Oryzias latipes: one gene and its partner. The main gene of each other region encodes a partner of the protein of the gene in region 2 in a complex. Links are inferred from orthologs where the notes say so. Each region holds a gene or a part of one and is shown on either strand. Other genes may lie near its edges.

Region 1 (10,650 bases), on a different chromosome or scaffold from region 2:
TGTTTGATATGGTTAACAGAACAGTAACAACACTGCCATCTGGTGGTTGGAAAAGGTCATTACTAAACCTAAAAACTTTTTTTTTTTACCCCCCCCCCCTTCATGATTTTCACTCTAAAACTGTTCTAAATGGAAATACTGTCCTTTATGTTCTACTTTACAATTGCTTTTTTTTTTTTTACCGATTGTGTAAAACAGTGCAACACAAGTATGTTAATAAGCAAACAATCCTGACTTAGAAGCAGAATTAAAGGTGACTAGCTGTCTATTAGTAGCATTGTTAATCGATTATGCTGGTCAGTTAGAAATGTTTGAGCTTTTCTATCTGAAGAGCAGGAAATGACTTGCTGTTTTCAGGGGCAGTACCATGGCAACGCAGAGGAGGACAGCAAACTGGATTTGGCCTTTCAGAGAAGGAGGGGAGCTGAAAAAATGAGGCCACTGACACGTAGAGGGGAGTGGGGGGCAGATATTATTTTACCTCTGACTGGTGAAAGGGAACGGGGCCCCAGGGGCAAAGGTACTAAGTTCAGTCGTTTGAGGTGTTGCCTTCACAGTTTTAAACAGTCCACCGGTTTGGATCGAGACTACAGATCTGTTCTTCATCTAGCTGTCCCTGTATTTTTGCACATGTGTGTGATTCTTCTCGGCTTCATAACAGCAGAAACCGGGCTTTATTGCACTACTCCTTCTGTCTAGCGAGAGCAGGCTGCAGAGGTCGGTTCAGGTTGCCGGAGTGCCCATCCCACACCGCAACGCCGTGCTTCAGACAGTGTGCTCTTCCTCTTTTCCCTCACTGGCTACAGCACCGTCCAAGTCAGGCCACAGATCCATGTTTCTGCGCAGGGAGGTGAGCACCTGTACCTGCAGGTTGGAGACGGGCTCGGGAGACGCAGCGAGGGCCGCCGTGGCCATAGTACGGTTGAGTAGGGGGTTGGGAGGGTTGCTGCTAGGTGGGTGTGTTGCCTTCCAATAAGCCTCCAGGTAGTCAGCCAGGTGTTCGCATGCGTCCTCCAGCTGGTTCTCATCCAGGATGATGTCAAACAGTTCCTGTGCCACAAACAAAGCAAGTCTTAGTTGGTGTTGCAGAAGCAGAGAATCAAAAATGTCCAAATAAAGTATAATTCCTAAATCAGGACTCACAGGTGGACATTGAGCCAGCTTGTCTGCTGCAACCATCTGAACGTTTAGATGTTTCGCCTGAGACTTTCCTCTGGATTTAATGAGCCTCTGGAGAACCTGCAGCGAGTCAACAGCAACAACTCAAATAGTACCGCATAAAAACAGGAGCTTGAAGCCAAGCTCATTTAAGAATGGGGCGTGGCCATTGGGGTAGGTGAAGCGTTCCAGCAAAAGTTTGTCCGTAAGATTCTAATTCAGCAACCTGATGGATGAGCGTGATGCATACAACGTTGTGGCGATGAGTGCTAAAATACATTTTTACTCTGTGAACTCTTTAAAAATACTGTACTTGATGCAAATATTCCCTTCATATCTCTAAGTGACACCACTATTGGAAAATCTTGTTTCAACTGTGCTCGAAAAAATAACAAGATCATACGTGCCCTGTTTCAGCAAAATGTAATTTCTGTTCCCTCTGCTGTTTTTTATTGGAGAAAATTTATTCCTGACTTGCCGTGGAAAAATGTTTGGACCCTGCATCAGAAATTATTAATTAATAACAAGATGAGAGACGTCTCCTACAAACTCCTACATAGAATCTATCCCACTAATCAATACATGATCAGATATAAGAAGACTATTGACCCCAACTGTACCTTTTGTAAAGAACACCCAGAAACAATCAGTCACCTATTTTGGAATTGTAATACTACTAAAAAACTTTGGAAAGATTGTGCATGTTTTATAAATTATAATTTAGATTCACAACATCAGATGAAATTTGAACATATCATATTTGTCCTACACGAAAAAAATATAAGATCAAACGTAAAATTGGCAATTAATCTAATTATAATATTTGGTAAATTTCATATTCATAAATCAAAGTTTTCTTCATCACAACTTTTTTTCCCTTTAATAATTAAAGAATTAGAATCTTATTTACATACTATTTCTAATAGTTTAAACAAAAAGGCCGTACATATTTATGAAAACTGTCTGTCTCTGAATATTTTCAATGCATAGCATTTGTAATCTTTTTGTAATACATGTACCATCCCCTGACATTGTTGTTGTTATGACTATTGTTCCTGTCATACATATTTGTTCCGTTTGTGTTGAATAATAAAGTTTATTAAAAAAAAAATCCACTCGAAGTACAAAAAAAAAAATAATAAAATACATTTTTACTTTGCCGTGTGTGAAAACAAATACAGGGCTGCAGTACACACTGTCAGAAAGAATGAAATAAAGCATATTAGGCAAACTCAAGTGCTCTTCTTCAACCCGTGACGCTGCTTCATCATATGTAAATTTGTTTTGGGTGTTTTTTATCCCCATTCTTGAAGCTCTCGTTTGAGCACCGGAACAATTTCAACAGCACCAGTTTGGCACCAGATGAAATTCCAAATGGTACCCATCCCTACAAATTAATACCAGACATGAAGGTTTACCTTGGGAGATGCTATTTTGATATAGACGATGATGGGAGCCAGAGAGGTCTTTGCCAGCTGAGTGGGGTGGTTGATGGTGTCTGCATCCAAAGCAACGAGCTGCAGGGTTCGGGCCAGCTCGAAGATGCGCTCAATCTCACTCTGCACCTCAGCTGACAGCACAGGAAAGAGACACAAATAAATAAACAAACAAAAAGTTATTAAAAAGCAGGCTGCTTTTATCTTTAAGGAGATGCAGCTTTGAACAGCAGTTAAATTCTCTTACTTTCTGCATAGTTATTAAACGAACATGTTAGTTCCTCACCGTGCACGTTTGGATTTTTTTTAAAAACAATGACAAAAGCCCACAAGCTTTCAAGGATGTAAATCAGGTTGGACCACAGTTTTAAGTTCCATTTATTCAGAGCTAAATGGAGCACTGGAGCATCTTCATTCAGTTGCCACCTCCAGACATTTCAGATTCTCTTAAGTGCTTCTGATCATTTCTAATTTGAGGTTGTAAAGGAAGGAGGCACTTAGAAATGAGATGCCTGTGGTACTTGAAATAGCTTACAATGAGGGCACAATTCTTCACCATGTAACCAAAACAGAAACAAACAAAATACAGATAAAAAAAACATACAGCATGGGGGGAGAAAACGTTTTTTTGTTAGCACAAATAGGCACAGCAAAATTATTGCATCAGGATAGCCATTCTAGACGGAGGACTTTTTGTTTTCATTGTTCCTCAGCCACAGCCAACCAGAGCTTTTGCATTTCAAGCGTAGTTCCAACATTCATCGAGAGGGAAAAAAATGGCGCCTGACATCATCTGCCGGAAGTGGAAAACATACAACTTACCTTAACCTTAACCCAGAAGTGATCAGAATTGTAAAAATAACATGCATTACAGCTTAAAACTGGAAATATTCTAGGTAAAACTTTATAATAACTATGGGTTATAGCTTGGTAAATTATTAACAAAACTGTAAGTTAACGAGTTATAAATAACTTTGTTAAGGATCTATAAATGTGCCTTTATAACTAAAAATTGATCATGAACAAGCATTTAATAAATTTCTCGACAACGATTTGTTAAGTATTAGGTAATGGCTTATCTGTTACTGGGATGTTGTTTCAAAGTGGAAAACATTCCTCATTTATTAACCGTTAAGAAAGGAGGGACATTTCCAACATTGATACACTGATGACTGTTATTTATAACCCATTAACTAACAGTTTATTCATGATTTATAATAGATGATTTATAATGATTTATAATAGATGATTATTATAAAGCATTACCAAACTGGAACTGGCAGGGTTTGCCAGTTTTTTTTCGAGCGATATGGGGCAGACTTCCGGTTCTGATTCTGGATGTCGATGTCTACAGCCAGGGTTAAACTGACAGCCAGAGTGCCCCTTGCCCTGGGGGTCAAACATCAGCACCTCCAAAGTTGTGCCAACTCAGCAGTGATGACAGATAACAGGCCGTTTAATCGACAGGGGCCCCATATTTCAGAAGCCTCCAGGAGGACTCCAAATTAAAGCTGTCCAGTCAGTCAGTCCAAGTGACAAGAAATGGGAACTTTTAAGGTAAGTAAATATGGATAACAACTGCAATAACTCAAGTTTTAACAGTATATAAAAGGTAAAGTCCAGCTCGTATAGGGGCCATTCAAGAGTCTTACTAAAGACGTACTGTATCCAGACTACTTTTAGGGGTAATTGCAATATGTGGTTTGAACAGCAGCAAGCAGTCGCCCACAGATCTCTGCCTGCGCGGGTTTCGTAATTCTTTCCTTTTTGTTCCAGACTGCAGGCTGTCACTCTGAGGTATGAGGAACAGAGAAACTGACAGGCAAACAGACAAACAATGTATGAGTACATGATGAATATAGTTAGGGGGGGAAAAGCGAAAAGAAGAGGGAGAGAAGCTGCATTGTTTCATTGCACGGAGAGCATACATACCCAGTACGTCTGAATCACAAGACAGAGAAGGAGGAGGAGGAAGAGGAAAGGTTTGGCAGAGTAAGGAGGATGGTTGAAGGGCACAAGAGACAAGATGAAAAGAGAGAAAAGGCCTAAATCAGACTCGATCAGAGGAGTTGTAAAAGCTTACAGGTCTTTTGATGAGGTACATCCTATGCTGTGTCTACCCTATTATGGCTAGGTCCTTAGATGAGTTATAACAAGTTGGATTCAAGGCTCCGAAGAATCCCTTTTTGGCATGTTGATCTAACATCAGCTCCTCCCAAAATGTTCTAATTTCTCCAATTTTTAATCACAAATTCCCCTGTGCCTGAGCAATCAAGTCAAACTGCAAGATGCAGCTACAAAAGCCAAAATAATAAATGTAGATTTGTGCTGAAGTTGGTTTGTGAGAATCAGAAACACATAAAAAATGTCTTTCTTGCTATTTGAATAAGCTGTTTGGAGTCTTATACTTTAAAAAAAAGTGTACCTAAAGAAACAGGGATATGGAAGAGACAGGAAAAGATGTTCAGCAACACGACACAATGAACAAACATCTTTAATTTTCCAGAGTTTCATTTTATAAAAGTTTTCACTGCCAGAAGACGTCTGGTCACCGAAGCGAGGTTTCTTACCCAGGCTGGAGCGAGTGCTGGAGCGCTCGATGATGGTGTGTTTGCTGGGGTTGTTCAGGACTGAACGTTTGGCCAGAGAGATGTCTGCTGTCACCCGCGTGATGGATATTCTGAAACAGAGATCCAGCACTTTACAGGATAAACGTATAACATTACAGGTCATGCATTGTTGAAGCCTTTTTTTTTTTCTTTTACCTTCCTTCAAACTTGTGTTTCAGAAAATCAAAGAGAGCTTTCTGCATCATGTCTGTCACCTATTGGATAACAAAACATTCAAAAACAGACAGCCATTAGTGTAGTTAGGTTCATTAAAAAGCAATAAAAATTTTTTTTTAATATGTTTTTTAGAAAAAAAATAGTTTTTCACATATTTCTTTCACTATAAACACTTATTTATGCAATAATCTTAAATCAGCAAATAATTTTCTGACTCAGCTATGTCTATTTTAAAAGATAGGTTTCTCCTAAAAAGCAAAAACACAAATTGAATAAAGTGTAAATATACCCGGCACTCACGATAAGTAAGGGATACTGTGAAAAACTTAGAGGATGTTGTAAAAAGTGTTTCACTTTACAGATTTTCAGGATACGGAGGCAATTGTATTGGAGTGGTGAACACTTTATTTAGGGTTTTTTTTCACATAATGACCTGACTGTGTTCATTGTCTTACTTAAAAGCAAAACAACAAAAATTCTAAAAGAAAATCCTTTTCAATGTGGCATCAATTTCAGCATTCTAGGGATGTAAAAAGCTGATTTTACCAGTAAGTCATTCCATCATCATCATTCAAACAGCCATGAGCATCGCTTAATGGATGAGCAGCACCATCTATCTGGCGATGGCGCGCCTTCAGGTTGGTACAGCATGCAGTCAGATGTGAAGTCAGGTGACCTTGTCTTCAAGTGTCATCAGCAGACTTCCATCAAGACTCGGAACTACTGGCAGAGTTTGTGAAAAAACACAGCCATGTTCTGCACACAGAAACACCACGCAGTTGCTGGCCCGTTTACCAGATGTGAGGGGTACCAGAGTTTCTGGAACATTCACAACCAACTCCACTGCTTTGACTGGAATGTAAAGGGTTTGCCATCCTAAATGAAAGCTTTTTTTTACTTTTATGCAATTAATAACTCATTGATTAGTACATTTTGCTTACATTAACCCACTTATGGAATCCTAAGGAAATGCAAGCCAGTTAAAACCAGTTAGGTATACATGATCTTACTGGCAGGAGCAGAGGGCACCGACACAGACCACTAAAAACGTAGATTTGGTGAAGACGACCATTTGACGTATTAAGGACTATTGGAGGTTTCTCCAATAGTCTCCAATGGAGGCCAGACATTGGCCTGAAGCCACCCTGGGGGGCCACCCTGGAGGATATATCTGTGGGATCCATTCTACTGAGTCTCATGGAGATAATCCCGATAAGCCTTCCTCACAAATGCCAGACAACCATTGCAGGTGACTCCACTGACAGCAAGACAGGGCCGTGTAAGTTTGCAGCGGACACAAGACCATGTGACCTGGACAATGCAGCAATGGTCTTCCATCATGTTCACTGATGAGTTTGGGGTCACCCTACCCAGAAATGATGGTCGTCAGCATTGTTAGAGAAGGTGAGCTTTGGTGGAGGAGGAGCAACATTCTGGGCAGGCATCACCAGTTGGAGATGGTTCAGTCACTGCACGCTCCTACCTCAGAGACATCATAGAACCACCATCATCCCCCAATTCCCCCAGGACACCCCCAACTTTCTGTTCATGGATGATAACACTCCACCACATGGTGCCAGAATTGTTACAGCTGGACTTCAGGAAGTCGGAGTGCCTCATATGATGCGGTTAGCAATTACCCCTGAGCTGAACCCCATAGAGTACGTCTGGGACCAGCTGAAGCAGAGACTGGATGATGGTTACCCCCCCCCCCCCCCCCCCCCCCCCAAGTGATCTGGCAACACTGCATGTGGCACTTGTGGAAGAGTGGAACGCCTCAGAACAACATCATGAGACTAGAGGGGGCAGAACGTCGCTGTCAATTCATATCAAACTAATCAAAATAGTGTTTATTTTCCTGCATTATTAGAAATATCAAAGGGAACTTTAACGCATTTCATTAAAACTTAAACTAAATGCGATAAGAACTCATGCAAATAACAATATCCCTTACTTATTGCGAGTCGTGTAATTCAGTATAAATGTTACCATAAAACTAACATGTTTGTAGACAACTTGGAGCTTTATTCATATTTTTTTAAAGTAATTGTTTAGTTTAGATTTTTACAATAATTTAGAGTTTTTTGTGTTTGTCATCATAATGTGTGTCTGACCTCATAGCCTTTGAGAGACGGTCCCACCAGAATGATGGGTCTCATGGAGGGAACCACATCGTAGGGAGGGACGTGTTCCATCTGAGCCAGGACAGAAAGCACAGGAATCAGGGCGAGTCATGTCACCGTGCCATGTTTGCACATACACTCTGCACAGCTACACAAAGCTCACACTGATCAGCAGTCAGTTACACTCATGCATAAATCCCGGTTGTCACTCTCTGATGCAAGAGGTCAGATTGATGGATGGCAACTTTAAGATGCTGGAGTCCATTTTCCTTTTATTGAGTGCCTATGAGAGCTCACAGCCGGGGATCAATTTTAAACGGAGAGCACTGGCCTCAATTTCTTTGTCTGCAGTCTCACATAATTAAAGTGCCCATAATTAAACCAGACGCAAAGGTGTCAAGAAAGCTCTCGTGGCTGTCCCACAACGTCTAAAGCAAATGCTGTCTTCCTTTCTTGGTATAAATCAGAAGAAACCGCCAAAATATTGCAAGGAAAATCGTCAAAACTTGATTTTTTACTAAAAAAAAAAAAAAAAAAAAGGATTTAAAGGATTTCAAATGTATCAGTCGGTGTAAATGCCAAATAATATTCTTTACTTTCTGTGAGCAAAATACTGCACCAACACCACTAAATATAGAATTCTGAAGTGGATTTAACATGCAAGCCGCTTCCACCATTTACATGAAAAGTGAACCATTCTGTAATATTTTCTACTCATCACCTACACACAAACATAATCCACACTGCAGCATGTGAACCCATAGACTGTGAATCCTAACAGGAGTGATTCATCCATATGAGATCCATACGCATCAGCCTGCTTTAGCAGCTGTTTTCAGATGGAGAATTGTCACACGTTCCACAGATTCGCTTTGAGCGGCAGAAAAGTTCTGGACCTGCTCCTCAACATAAAATGCAGCGGCGGAAGCTCATTTCACCTCTTTTGTACTCACTGGAGCTATAAATAAATAGTCTAAAAGCATCCAACTGGCTCCTGTCAATGCAAGGGTCAAAGCTGGCGCACCGAACATAACAGTGCAATCCGGTTCTCTGAACTGCGTGAGAACAGAGCAGTTTAATGTGGCGTTACACAGATGAAGGCAAGAATCACTTCAAAAAATTAAGTGTTATATTTATAGAGCAAAGACACAAAAATAAAATCTTCTACAAAATGTAAAAATATATTTTTATGGGATTGGTTTCATTTTGCTTAACTGGTAGAATAGAATTACATTCTGTTTTTTCCAAAAAACAGTTTTTTTCCTTTTTCTGTGAACCTCTCAATGACAGAATGGTGGTGTAACATGCATGTCATTTGGAGGCTTTATATATACAGAATTAAACATGAAAGACCCACTCCATTTATCTTTTGATCCAGTCCTGGTTTTCCAATTGTTTTTTTTTTCATGATTATCCTGTTTTTAGCTAAAAAACAAACAAAAAACAGTTGTTTTGTAGGACATAATTTCTGCAGAGTGGCAGTAATTCATCAGAAGTGCACCTCTTAATTGTGGCCGGGACCGTTGCAAGCAACCCCGCCCCTCTTCCCTTGTCTGTTGCGGAGCGAGAAGCTTGTAGCCTGCCAAGCGTATCTTCTAATCACAAAAACCTCTTTTCCAAACTGCATTTTTTTATTTATTTTTTTCATCTGCTCCTGATTCCTAACAATTAAAATAAAGAAATACTGCAATTTTATGCTCAATTTTCTTTATATATGTCCATATATGTCCTTTATCATCAGAAAAATGCCACAAGAACATGTTAAAAACCCCATTTTCAGTGTGGGTCTTTCAATTGGATCTTCATTAGTAAAAAAAAATCCTACAATGTAAGCATTACAGTTTGAATAGTTACCCTAACCTGGATAAATGACTTGCTGTGAAAATACTGTAAATTGGTGTTTTTTTTCTCCTGCACGTATAATGCGAGATCCAAATATAAATTGTTGTGAAAGGCATGTCAATTTGTAAATGAAGAGCCAAAAGCAAAACTGAAAGACAGTCAGACTGACTAATTGGGGCGGATCTGCACCTGTATCCTGACAGCTGGGATCCAGATTGAGTGGAATTGACAGAATCATCAATACCATTTACACGTTTTACTCTGACAGTTCAATTCAGCTTCAATTTTTTTTTAAGCACAAAAAGCTAAAAGCGATCACATACTGAACAACACAAGACAATACAAAGCGGTAACAACTATAGCAGGGGGTTAGTTTGGGAGCAGACCACACTCACCGACTTCTGTTTCTGTTTAGCTGGACCCCCTACAGTATCATTCCAGGTAATAGCAGGAAGAGGCAGAAAACACAAGACCACATTTAGTTATAGACTTGTTAGGATTAGAGCAGACATCGAGAGAAAAGCTGTTTATTGATTAAAGGTTACACTGCCTGCCTGCAGTGGTGAGGTTAAAAGAGGAGGATTTTGAGGAGGAGCAGCCATGTCAGCGTTTGTTAGTTCAATCCTCTCCCAGCACACAAACATATCCCGCCATGGCCATCACGGTCAGAGCTTGAGGAGCCAAGTAGGGGTAGATTTGGGTGGTAAAGTGGATGTAAGTGCAGTGGCGAAGGGAGTTTATAGGAAGCTTGAAGGACCGTATTCAAAAAGGTGAGTGCGGGGTTGAGGAGCAGGGATGCTGCAGAGGGAAGCAAGGCATCTTGGGACCCCTAATGTTACCTTCTTAAAGAAGGGCAGTCGGTGGGCGTTGGCCTGAGGGGACGTTACGCTCCCCGACATGCCCTTGGAGGAGCGAGGCTCTCCCTGGGACTCAGGGGGCTCCTCGGCTTCCAGGTCGAGGGGGTCAGCGTCAAAGGGCATCGTGGAAATATCCACGTGAGCTGATGGGTTTGCGGAGGCACAGAACAGAAAAGAAGGAGGAGAAAAAACAGGATGAGGTGAAGAGAAAACAGGAAAAAAAAAGACACAAAAGGGTGAAGAACAAGTAGAAGAAAGAGGGTGAGAGGAATACTGGAGGTGGTAAGAGATGACACAGGCTGCGATCGAAAAATGTGATAAGTGTGATTTAAACTGGGAACAAAAGCTGACAAGAGTTTATAAAAAGGACAGCAATGATTACCAGGAAGTAAAGTGCAGACAGAGGGTGTAATGACTAGAACAGCAGGGAACAAAGTGAATTCAGTGT
Region 2 (10,650 bases):
ACTAGTAATATATTCTGCAATTTCCTCTCTGTAATCGTTCAAAAGCTTTCATTGGACTTGAGAATGACAGTACAGACAAACCAAGAGGATTGTCTTAGTGTCCAGGGAACCAAACTTTCATTTAGATTCCCTCATCAACAGGCTAGGGTAATTCCTACTAGAAAAAAATAACAAAATATATATTTAAAATAGTCCTCTTAAAATATTTTGGTCATAATCACAACTTTGATTTACAAGAATTTATGATATGCTTCTCTGCAGCCCTGACAGATCCACATACGGAGGTTTAAATGGAAAAAATTACAAATCTACTAAAATCTGTAACTTAAACACACACTCCCTAAATGGCATGTGTTTAGAACTTTTATTAGTGTTTAAAATCTTATTGATATAAAGCAGCTTTTCTCCACAAAATCTCCTCACTTCATGTTTGTGGCGCCGTGTCACCTCGGCGGAAATGACCATCAGCTCTAGAAATTCCTCTGCAAGTGCTTTACAAGCTGAATCCAACACGCTTTTGCATATATGAAAACAAGTGTAAATGCTTTTAGATTTTTATCTTTAAAAATATAAGTTCATATTTAAACGGATGTAAAAAGAACTGGCCAGGTGCTATGAACTACGTCTTTGCTTCCTCGTCTGTATAAAAAGCAGATGAGCGGCTTTTTCCTACACATGATGTAGTTCAAGTCCTCCAAATCCATTTTGTAAGAAACATAAAAAAAACAACGAAACAAAGCTACACTGTTTGAATAACTAAAAACTAATAAAGATCCAGTCCTTTAGGAGGAATTTTTGGTTTGTTGCTGGGAAAATGTGTGTGTGTTTTTTATTTTTCAAAGGTGTGCAGTATTTTGCTGATGTCGGACTAGCTGAGAGACACAACTCTCAATGCTACAGTAGAAGGATGACCAGACGAGGACAGGCTGTTTGTAGGTTGATGAGTTTAAGACTTTTCTCCACAAAACATAAAAAAACACAAGCACAGACTTGTTCAACTCCATTTGCAGCGTGGATTCAAATTGTCCAGCAAATCACATTTCCTAATAAGCACAAATGATGGACAGATCTTTATTTTTAAAATCCAATCAGTAAATTAGCCTTTAGATTTTTACATTTTTCTTGAATGCAAAACTCCAAAAGCTAAAAAAGATAATTCCTAGGTCCTAAAGCCTGCTGAGGATATTCCATCGCTTTTTGGTTAAAAATACTCTCAATATAATGGAAATCCAAATTTTCCTAACTACATTTCCATCAAAGTGTCCAGCCCGTTCCTTATTCTAAACTGTGGTGATTAAATATTGTATGTTTATAGATATTTTTAATTTATATATTATAGAAAAATATACAATCAATGGCTAGTGGTGAGACAAAATGTCATCAGTTAAATAGGACCAATATTTTACATCTCTAAACCCATGCACATGAGACATTACTTTAACACAATTCAAAAGGTCAGATCTTAAATCAGCAAACTTCCAGCCACCCTCCTCCTCCTCAAATCCTCTTTTCAAACAGTTGTCCCTCGAGTCTTTACAAGACCACCAAACAGATTCAACAACAAGCCTCTGCTCTGTCCCACTTCACTTGAGGAACCCAAATAAATCTGGGCTGCATGGTGACCGCTTTCATTCGATGAAGCTGTATGAAGCAGCACAAGTGCGCACAAATACAACAGCAGTACCATGGAGGACTAAAGGGGGACGTGTTCTGATGGCTCCAGAGCCTCAGCTTGGTGCACGCTGATTAACAGGATCCATGCTGAATGCAACATCCTCGCAGGTCCTGCTAATTATCTGATCAGCTGTTACTGTCAGGATGAACAAAAAACATGCTCATCCTGTGTTTCAAATGGATTTAAAGTGGGTACGTGTATAGGTGTGAAGAAAGCTCAAAACGTTTTATATAGAGTGATGAAGACTACATAGAGGACCAGTAAGCACGGTATGCCATGACAATGGCTGCAGGGTTATCTGAGACTAGGAGGGAAAAAATGTCCAAAAAGTACAGAATATAAATCCAGATCCTCAACTTTGCAGCAAAAACATAGCTTTAATTTCCAATAACTGTATCAAAAACAAGTGGGTTTTCATGACACCTTACTCTAGTTTCAATCGCTGTGCATCTGTCCTTTAAAGGTTAAATAAAATCAGATATGTCTGGGCCCAGAAAACACAAGATATGCAAAATCCCCTCTGCTTCTTTAAATTCAAACATGTATCTCGCGATACCGACTTCAGTCAGTCTATGTACAATAAATAGAAAAAGCTACTCTGTAATAATGTGATATGATATTCAACCTTATTGGAAAGCTGACTGAAAGTGGGAACCTCATGCATCACTGATGGTACACAGATAAACTCGTTAAAAACCAAGAATAAGAAGAAAAAGATGCAGTCAAAAAAGTGTTGAGACAGGAAAAACAAACCTCTCAGGTCGCCATACAATGATCCACAAGCAAAACGCTGGTTTCAGATCATTGTCTCAATAAACGTTTTTGACCAACACCCCGCCCTGCCATGGGAAAGAGAATAAAATACAATTTTACTATACTGCACTGTAACGTACTGTACCTGATTTCAAGTATGTCAGGTGTGGAAACCACTGAGTTCACTTATAAATGTAACAAACAAACAAACAAAAGAAACCTTCATGATGCGGATCTTGTTAGACATTTTTCACAAGTGTGTTTACTTCGGGAACCGTGTACACAGTCATAGTTATTGCATTGTTTTTGCATATCTTGTGGGTTGCAGGAGTACACCCACTTTAAGCATCGTACTGCAACACAACACTTCATAGTTCATGCTGACCCACAAAGCACAGAAAAGCAGCAGCGCTGCTCCACGGCACACAGGGGGCGTCTGTGAGTCTCACTAACCCATCAGAGATTTGATTTACACACAGTGAGCCTGGTGTGGATCTTTTACAATGCAGGAAATTTCTTTGTTTTTGTCTATGAACACTATCCTAGAAAACAGAGGATAACTATATGACAATTAAAAAAATGATTTTAAGAATTAAAGTCTTTTTCTGTTGTTGGAAACTTTGCTTTTGTTCAAGAATCGAGTCATTCATGATTTTTGATCTAATCCAGAGATTAACATTCAACTGGAGCTACATTATGGGGTAAAATGCAGCAGCTTGGACACAAAAACTACATTTCAAATGTCTGTTATATTAATCTTTAGAAACTCAGTCTTTTTTATTGACCAAAAACAATCACAGTTCATTGATAAGAGCAGGGTCCTTTTGTCTTTCAACACTGATTGGTAATAGAAAGTAGATTAGGAAGACAAAAACTCATACTTTTGCTTTTCAACATTTTAAAATGCCTCAAAGAAATACTAAAAATGTCTTTGAAAATGTCAAACATCCTAATTTGGTGACTTTTACTTTTAAAGGGTCATAATAGGAATTTCACCTCAAAACAAGTTCTGCCACATAAACCAAACATCAATATTTAGATTGCATAAAAATGACAGAAGTCTGGCACAGGATGCAGTGTATGGCAGTGTGTTTATGCATACTCATTCCTGCCACTAATCTGCTCCGGTTTACACGTGTCAACTAAAAAAAACAGAGAGACATGAATTGGGAAAGATGCTCTAATGATCGAAATGATTTTTCTTGAAAGGAAAAAAAGAGAGTTTAAATGCCTAAAAAATACATATTTTTAAACATTTCTCCTGATTGAAGCTGATGTTTCACACAGCAACCGATCTTTATTTTTCCAAACTACCTATCATTTTTAGAGGGCATTAAGGCTTTTAACAATTTTACATTATTTTCAAAAAGATAAAGAACATCACTACGGCTAAGAGAGGGATTCAAAAAAATATTCTGTCCTTTGTGATGTTTTTGCAAACACACCTGACTGTCAATTAATTTAAGGTGAATCAAATTATGACTGAATAGCAAAAACATATAATAAAAACGATGATAAATCTGAGCCAGACATCTACAGCTTATTCAAGCTGCAGAAAAAAAAGTCTTTTTGGATACTTTTTCACTGGATATTTTGCAGTTTAGGCAAAAAAACATGATATTTTCTACAATAATTTTACTCCTACCAGATTTACAAATAAATGAAATGACACAGAGAGTTATTCTCTTTCTAATGGTACTCCTAAATTAAATTGTTTATTTTAATCTAATAGACAAATGTGTGTAATTCAGATGTCTTACAGTACCCCTACACAAGCCCTAATAATTTTTTTTGGGTGGTTACCTTCCATTAAAAAAGTATAATATATGATATGGGTGTTACAGCTGAGCAAATTAGGACATAAAGCCCCAGTGCTTTGACAAAAGGGTTGTTATGGCAGTATGAAGTTTGGTGCTTCTGTCATTCAGAGCAACCATCCATCAGAAAAAGCAGCAATTGCCAAAAGGCCTCTAACCTTATGACCTCCCTAAAGACCTTACGCCAAACGTCTAAATGGGACAGTAAAGAAAAAGTTACCCGATGGCTAGTGTTCAAAGACAGAGCGACTCTCACTCTGCAGCTTGGCTGAAAAGTAAAAGTGGAAGCATGCCTGTCCATGGTAACCCTGTGTTATGGAGGCCCATTAATACGCACAAAGACAGCTCCGCTCCCACGCACCCTACACAACGACGTACTTTTTTAAAAATGCTACCTTAAATGACTGTCTAGGCTTAAAATCGGCTTTTTAGAATACACAAACACGCACACATTCTCACATTTTTTTTCTCTTCTGGGAAAAATAAATAAATAAATAGATACAATCTGTAAAAGGTGCATACTGATAGAGAGGAGACCCCTCTCTCCTATAGTTACACATCTCCCACACTCGTGCACACTAACATCCTGTACTAAAATGCAGACATACACCCGCACACAGAAATATAGTTTATAGACTTGCACGCAGACACTACGCCCTGCTTCTGTACTTTAAACCTCTTAAATTCTCCTAAAAAATAAACCAAGCAAAAATACATTTATAAGACCAGCACCCCAATTTTGCAAACGACTCAAAGATAAATTAAAACACTGATGTTCATGAGTATTAAAAAAGAAAAAATCATGGCTAATCAGTTTTGCACATAATAAAAAGGTTAAATACATAGTGGGCTTGGTCTGCACATGGAGTGTGTGGCAGCAAATCCAGAAGGATTCCTAACTGAGAGGAAGAGGCAGGTCTTGGAGCAGGAAGTACGGTTGATTGATGGCAGATCCAGTATAGACCCCCCCCACTTGCCTGGAGTGTTTTTATAAACAGTCACTTCCCTCCTTTTCTTCCACCCCGCCATCTAAGTCCTGCTTGACAAAGACACGCCTCCCAAAGCGCAGAGAAAGAAAAAAACTACAGAAATGGTAAAATAGGCAAAGATGATAGAAAAAGTATCGAGGAAAGGTAGTGAGGGGTGATGAGGTATCAGGCAGAGAAGGGGGCTCACTGTTTCCAATTATCCACCAAAATGCTCCTCTCATTTCCCGTTTGGGGCAGCAAGAAGGTGGGACCAAACGGGGGAATGCGGTGGAGGGTTTGAGGCCAGATTAAAGTACCGTGACAGACGAGGTGAATTTCTCTCTTGCTTGCAAAAAGAAGAGCTGGCACACATCCAGTAGAGCGGAGTATCTTTCTCTTCTTGTGGCCCCTTCTAGCAGCCCTGTGGGACCATCCCTCAAATACTTTCCCCCCCGGTGACTGGGGCGATGCACACCTTAATCCCATTTTTGGGTTGGCAGGGTTGTGCTCCAAGGTTCTGTAGCTTTGGAAGAGGAGGAGAAATGAGACTTCAAACAGGGGTTTCCCAGCCCCTGTTGTACTCAATACAGCGCTTTGTTATTGGCTAAACAAAGAATGAGGAGGTGACCTTTGACCCAGAGCGGGCGTGGTCAGATTGTGATCCTTGATTGATCCCTCAACACGCAGGTCTGCTGTCCCCTAGCTGGCGTCAAGGCGGCCAGACAAACAACAGTGACACACCACCACAGTAAGCATAGGACATGAACACATTAACATACTGGGTCATTTTCAGAAAATCCATAAAAGGATTTCCTGCCGTCTTTGTCTTCTCTTTCTTTCATTTTGTCCTGTTTTTTCTCTTTTTTGCTTCTCCCTACTTTTTCTGCTTTTCATACTTTGAGGACATGATAAAACTGTGAGGCACTTCAGAGCCACACTCAGACACGTGTGGAGAACACACACAAACACACACAGATAGAGAAAGTCACACTCACACTCCCATACGCTCAGATAATATATAGTCTCATATAATTTACTACAAATATTCACATACATACTAGCTCAGAAACCAACAAGTCATGTGTTCAAGGTTGCATCACTGGTCGCCTTTGTCCAGAGCGACAATGTGTGAGTGCGCAGGGACAAACACAACCAGCTGCAGCACTGCTGCCGAACAGCACTGGCGCCGTCGCTCTCTGATGATGTCAGAGGGGCCATTTGCCCAATGAACTCTCTCAACCCCTACAAACTCGTTACACATTCCATATCCTCGTCCTCCAAAAGCCCACTGTCCCTCTGTCGCGCTCCTGCAATGACAGCAGAATTTCTATGGTGCTTTTCCCTCCGCGTCACCTCTTCCTCCTCCTCTTCTTGGCCTCTTTCCGTGGCTAGCAACTCCTGCCGCTCCTCTATAGAGGACGGCCCATGTATGGAGATTCTGTTTCCTGCAGCTTCTGCCCCATCTTCGCTAGAGGTCAAGCCAGCCACTCGGTCCCTTTGTGTTGATGCTGCTGTTGTGTGGAAGGGATGAAGGCTGCCGTTTGGACTGTGCTGAGAGGTGGAAGAGGTGCTGGGTGAGGGGTTTGAGGCATTCTTGCCATTGAGAATGTTGTTGGCAGCCTGTTCCATTTCCTCTATTGTCATGTCGCAGGCATCAGCCAACTCGACTTTGGTTGCCTCAATGAACGAAGGATCCTGGGCGAAATGGCCCAAACCTTCTGATATCAGGACCTTAACAGTCAGAAGAAAAATGAACATGAAACAGTGAAAATAGTTTTCTCTAGAAACTACACACTTGCAGTAACGACTAAGACTCACCGCTTCTACCAGACTGCCCGCGCTCCCATGAGACAGCGAAGTGGAGTCCTTCCCCAAAAGTGAGGGTACGGTGAGCGACACTGGCCGTGGAGCTCTTTGACTGGACGCTGACACGCTGGGGCTGGGGCTGGGTACCCGGCTGTTCCCGTTACTGTCGCTGTACCTGAGAGCAAAGTATTTCACAATAACACCAAACTGTCTTCATTTAAACCACTATTTAAAGGTACTCATACTCACCAGGGCCCACAGCTGACAGAAGGCAAGCTGGTATTGAGCTTTTCATGAGAGTTGGAGCCCTCTAGCCTCAAAGAGGGAACTCCCTGATAGGAGGCATCACTGCAGTGGGCTTAAAAGCAAACACGACATTACAAACAGATCAACACTATGATACTTATTAGGATAATTTTGTCTTTTTTCTTTCAACTTATCTGAAAAGCAACTTTTTTGCGGAGAATTGGATTTACCTGCAGGACTGGCTGGAGGCGTTGAGCACAGCCGGCTAAACAGGTTGGGTGAGTGACTCCTTCTCAGCTGAGGACTCAACCCGGCCACTGCTAGAGCCTAAATGAGAAGAAAACGTTAAAAAGTTGTTGTTAAAGTAAATGTAAAAACATGTTCACATGCATTCGAATGTGCATTCAAGCTGCTACTTCCAGTAAAAAGTCTGGATAAACGCGTATATTTGTAGGTTTTATTTGTAGGGCTCCTGCGTTCAAACTCTTGTGATCAAGCTTAGCTACGCACATTTTGAAGACAAAACATGGGGCCACTGAACACACATTGAAAGTTAAACATGGTTGAACTTTGACCAATCAGGGACTCGGATTTGGTAATGATGTATGGATGATGTCCCCTTTAATTAACACAAGCCCCAGCTGTTTGAAAATTGATCATGGAGGAGAAATTAATAATAGCGGTTTATATGACAGCAAGTCTTTCATAAATCCGAATAGAAAATTTGTGAGGTTTGCACAGCTTCGATATTTCACACCAAGCCTCTCCCAACTGTAGGTGTTGGACCAGCGCTAGTAAACAGTAGAAAAAGAAATAGAAGAAGAAGAAGCCCCTCCCTGCTTGTCCAGAACAACATGGGCGTGTGTTCCCCCCGTTTGAACGTAGCACAAGAGTTCAAGAGGTTAAATTGTAGTTTCAATACAATGTGAATTTTTTTTTTTCTTTACTACCTGGTGATGTACAAGATGTAAAGGTGCAGACGTCTTCTGAGAGACTTCTGGCCTTGGTTGTCTCCGGAGACACTCCAGGTGGAAGGACGATCTCCGTCCTGACACGCAGAACAAAAGTGTAAACAACTAGAGAACTAAACAAGAAAGGAACGACTGTTGACGTGTGTCTTCTCACCCAGAGAGGTTGGACAGAGGAAGACTCTTCGTGGAGACTGCCACCCTCCACTTCCTCTTCTTCCTTCTACTTCTTCTGCTTCCTCCATGGGAGTTAGCTGCCTGCATGTGTCATCATGATACACCAACCTTAAAAAGTGCACACAAATCCACAAAACAAATTCAAACAAACCTTGCAAGGGTTTAAAACTTTGAGATGAAAACAAAACTGTGTTGTTGTTCTTTTTTTTTTGTTAAATTTATTTTCAGCAGTACATGTCAGACGAAAGCGAGTGATCATCTTCGTGGTACTCTCTGTCGTCACCATAGCTCTCATCATACGTCTCCTCTGTTGACCCCTCCCCTCTCCGGATGATTGGCAGATGACTGTCACTGGAGTCGGAGCTACAAACAAACACGCATACAACCAGACAAGCAAGCAGACAAACAAAAAAAAACACACAATTATCACAAAAAAACAAACCACAGATGGCAGTACGATTAGACAAACAGATGCAGACACAGATAAAAAGCAGCTGATTAGCTATACAACGTCAGCAAGGAGCTGAGGAGGAAGAGACAGAAATCCACAGAGATTTAACCAAAGCATGTATGAACCAGAAAGAGGAGCTGAAGCAAAGGTCTTAGGAGAAGCAGTTGGAGGCTTGCAGCTGTTTTGTTGAAGCAAAATGGTGAATAGTATTTTAGGCAACATTTGGAACATGAGAAATGACGCAAGACTGAAGTTAAGACATCTTTAAAACCGAAAAAAGACACAAAAAAGGCAAACTTTTTGAACGAGGCTTTCTATAACCCAGTGGCTTCACGGTAACTTTAACTTTATTAAAAACTCTTGCCAGAATGTATGTATTTTTAGCAGGAAAAATTGTCTTAACGTTGGTAAAGACTAAATAAACAAATACCAGAGAATCCAGGGCTATTAGATTGGTTGATCTGGTTTATCAAACCTATTTTAAAAATCAAAATCTGCCATTCTGCATCTCAAAGATGTCTTTTTATCAGTTACATCAATTTCATATTCCACACAAGCTTCAAGGAACCGTTCTGACATTTGAATTTCGGTCTTTAGTTCTTCACCAGGCTGTTTAATCCATTCAAACACGTTTCTTAAATAATCCTTTATTTATAAATTATTATACTATTTTTTAAAGTTTTTTTTTTTAAGGAGAATCATCAAATATAGAACTAATATTGCATGTGATCCAGTAATCGCAAACTGTAAAAACAGCGTGGTAAGGAAAAGAAAAACAAAATGTCTAAATGCCATTTTGTCCCTTTTTTTTATCAGCGATATAGAGCTTTACAGCAAATTCTGGGTTAGAGCAGATCTTCAATCTATTTCAGTTCCACGAATCTGAGTTTACTCAAATCGAAAACATCAGAAAGCTGATACTTTCTCATACGGCTTAAAAACACCTAATTTCATTTGTGGTCTGCAGCTTCACAGCACAAAAAACATGTACACAACATAATTAAACAACATGGAAACATTTGTATTTTACCATTCGTTCAAAAACTCATAGTTGTTCAAAACAAATGAGCTAGTTAATAAAAAAATCTGTATTTAAAGTAGATTAGTTCATGAAATTTTGAAAAAATTTGAGTCGTGGAATTCAAACTGTCAGTTGAGACAAATATAAAGCAATAACTCAAAAGCACATAAGTAGCTTTTACAAAAATATAGACTGATCTCATTGTATTGTAACATTTTGAACTAATGAATAACTTTATTTTTTTAATGGTCTAAAAACAAGATGAGTATCAGCTTTCAGATGTTTGCATAGATGAAGAAAAAGGAGCTAAAACAGAGTCTAACCCAGACCTGCCACAGTGTGCAATAATAGAGCAGCAACACAAGGTAGATAGGAGAGGTTTGGCCATGTGACACCAAACAGTCTATCTGCAGCTTAGCTGGCTAATCTTTAAAGTAGCAGCACTTTTACTATAGCAACTAAAGCATTTTGTGCATAGCAACAAATGCCACTGTTGTGCCATGACAGCTATGCTCTTTTCCATACTGCATCATCATTTTATGCGCACTCAAAACAGACAAACATTCATTCTCTTTCTCTGTCCCCTGGCAACATACCGCATGAGGGTGTCATAAAACATCCTGCATGCCAACAGAAATAGAAGACAAGGAGAAAAAGCAGGTAAATAAAGAGGCGGTGAAAGAAATAGTTTGTTGACTGTGAAAACTTTTCTTTACAGTCAGGGATAGAGAAAAAAGTTATTGTAAAAGGTTTTATATGAAGGAAAAT

The links. Proteins that work in one complex are often made in the same cells at the same time.
Region 1: voltage-dependent L-type calcium channel subunit alpha-1C (region 2) and cacnb1 share a complex: the UniProt entries of both Homo sapiens proteins name them as parts of the calcium channel complex. The link is inferred for Oryzias latipes from reciprocal best matches to the Homo sapiens genes CACNA1C and CACNB1.

The regions. Positions count from the first base shown.
Region 1 is NC_019866.2:5,368,676-5,379,325, forward strand, and holds part of cacnb1 (voltage-dependent L-type calcium channel subunit beta-1), read right to left. Parts: intron 10,346-10,650; coding exon 10,185-10,345; intron 9,770-10,184; coding exon of another isoform or gene 9,741-9,769; intron 7,576-9,740; coding exon 7,495-7,575; intron 5,419-7,494; coding exon 5,360-5,418; intron 5,275-5,359; coding exon 5,165-5,274; intron 4,536-5,164; coding exon 4,527-4,535; intron 2,729-4,526; coding exon 2,577-2,728; intron 1,240-2,576; coding exon 1,144-1,239; intron 1,051-1,143; coding exon 865-1,050; intron 1-864. UniProt on the Homo sapiens protein: Regulatory subunit of L-type calcium channels. Regulates the activity of L-type calcium channels that contain CACNA1A as pore-forming subunit.
Region 2 is NC_019881.2:14,671,458-14,682,107, reverse strand, and holds part of voltage-dependent L-type calcium channel subunit alpha-1C, read right to left. Parts: intron 10,503-10,650; coding exon 10,479-10,502; intron 8,774-10,478; coding exon 8,645-8,773; intron 8,519-8,644; coding exon 8,391-8,518; intron 8,314-8,390; coding exon 8,216-8,313; intron 7,593-8,215; coding exon 7,496-7,592; intron 7,378-7,495; coding exon 7,269-7,377; intron 7,195-7,268; coding exon 7,032-7,194; intron 6,945-7,031; coding exon 6,456-6,944; 3' UTR 1-6,455. UniProt on the Homo sapiens protein: Pore-forming, alpha-1C subunit of the voltage-gated calcium channel that gives rise to L-type calcium currents. Mediates influx of calcium ions into the cytoplasm, and thereby triggers calcium release from the sarcoplasm.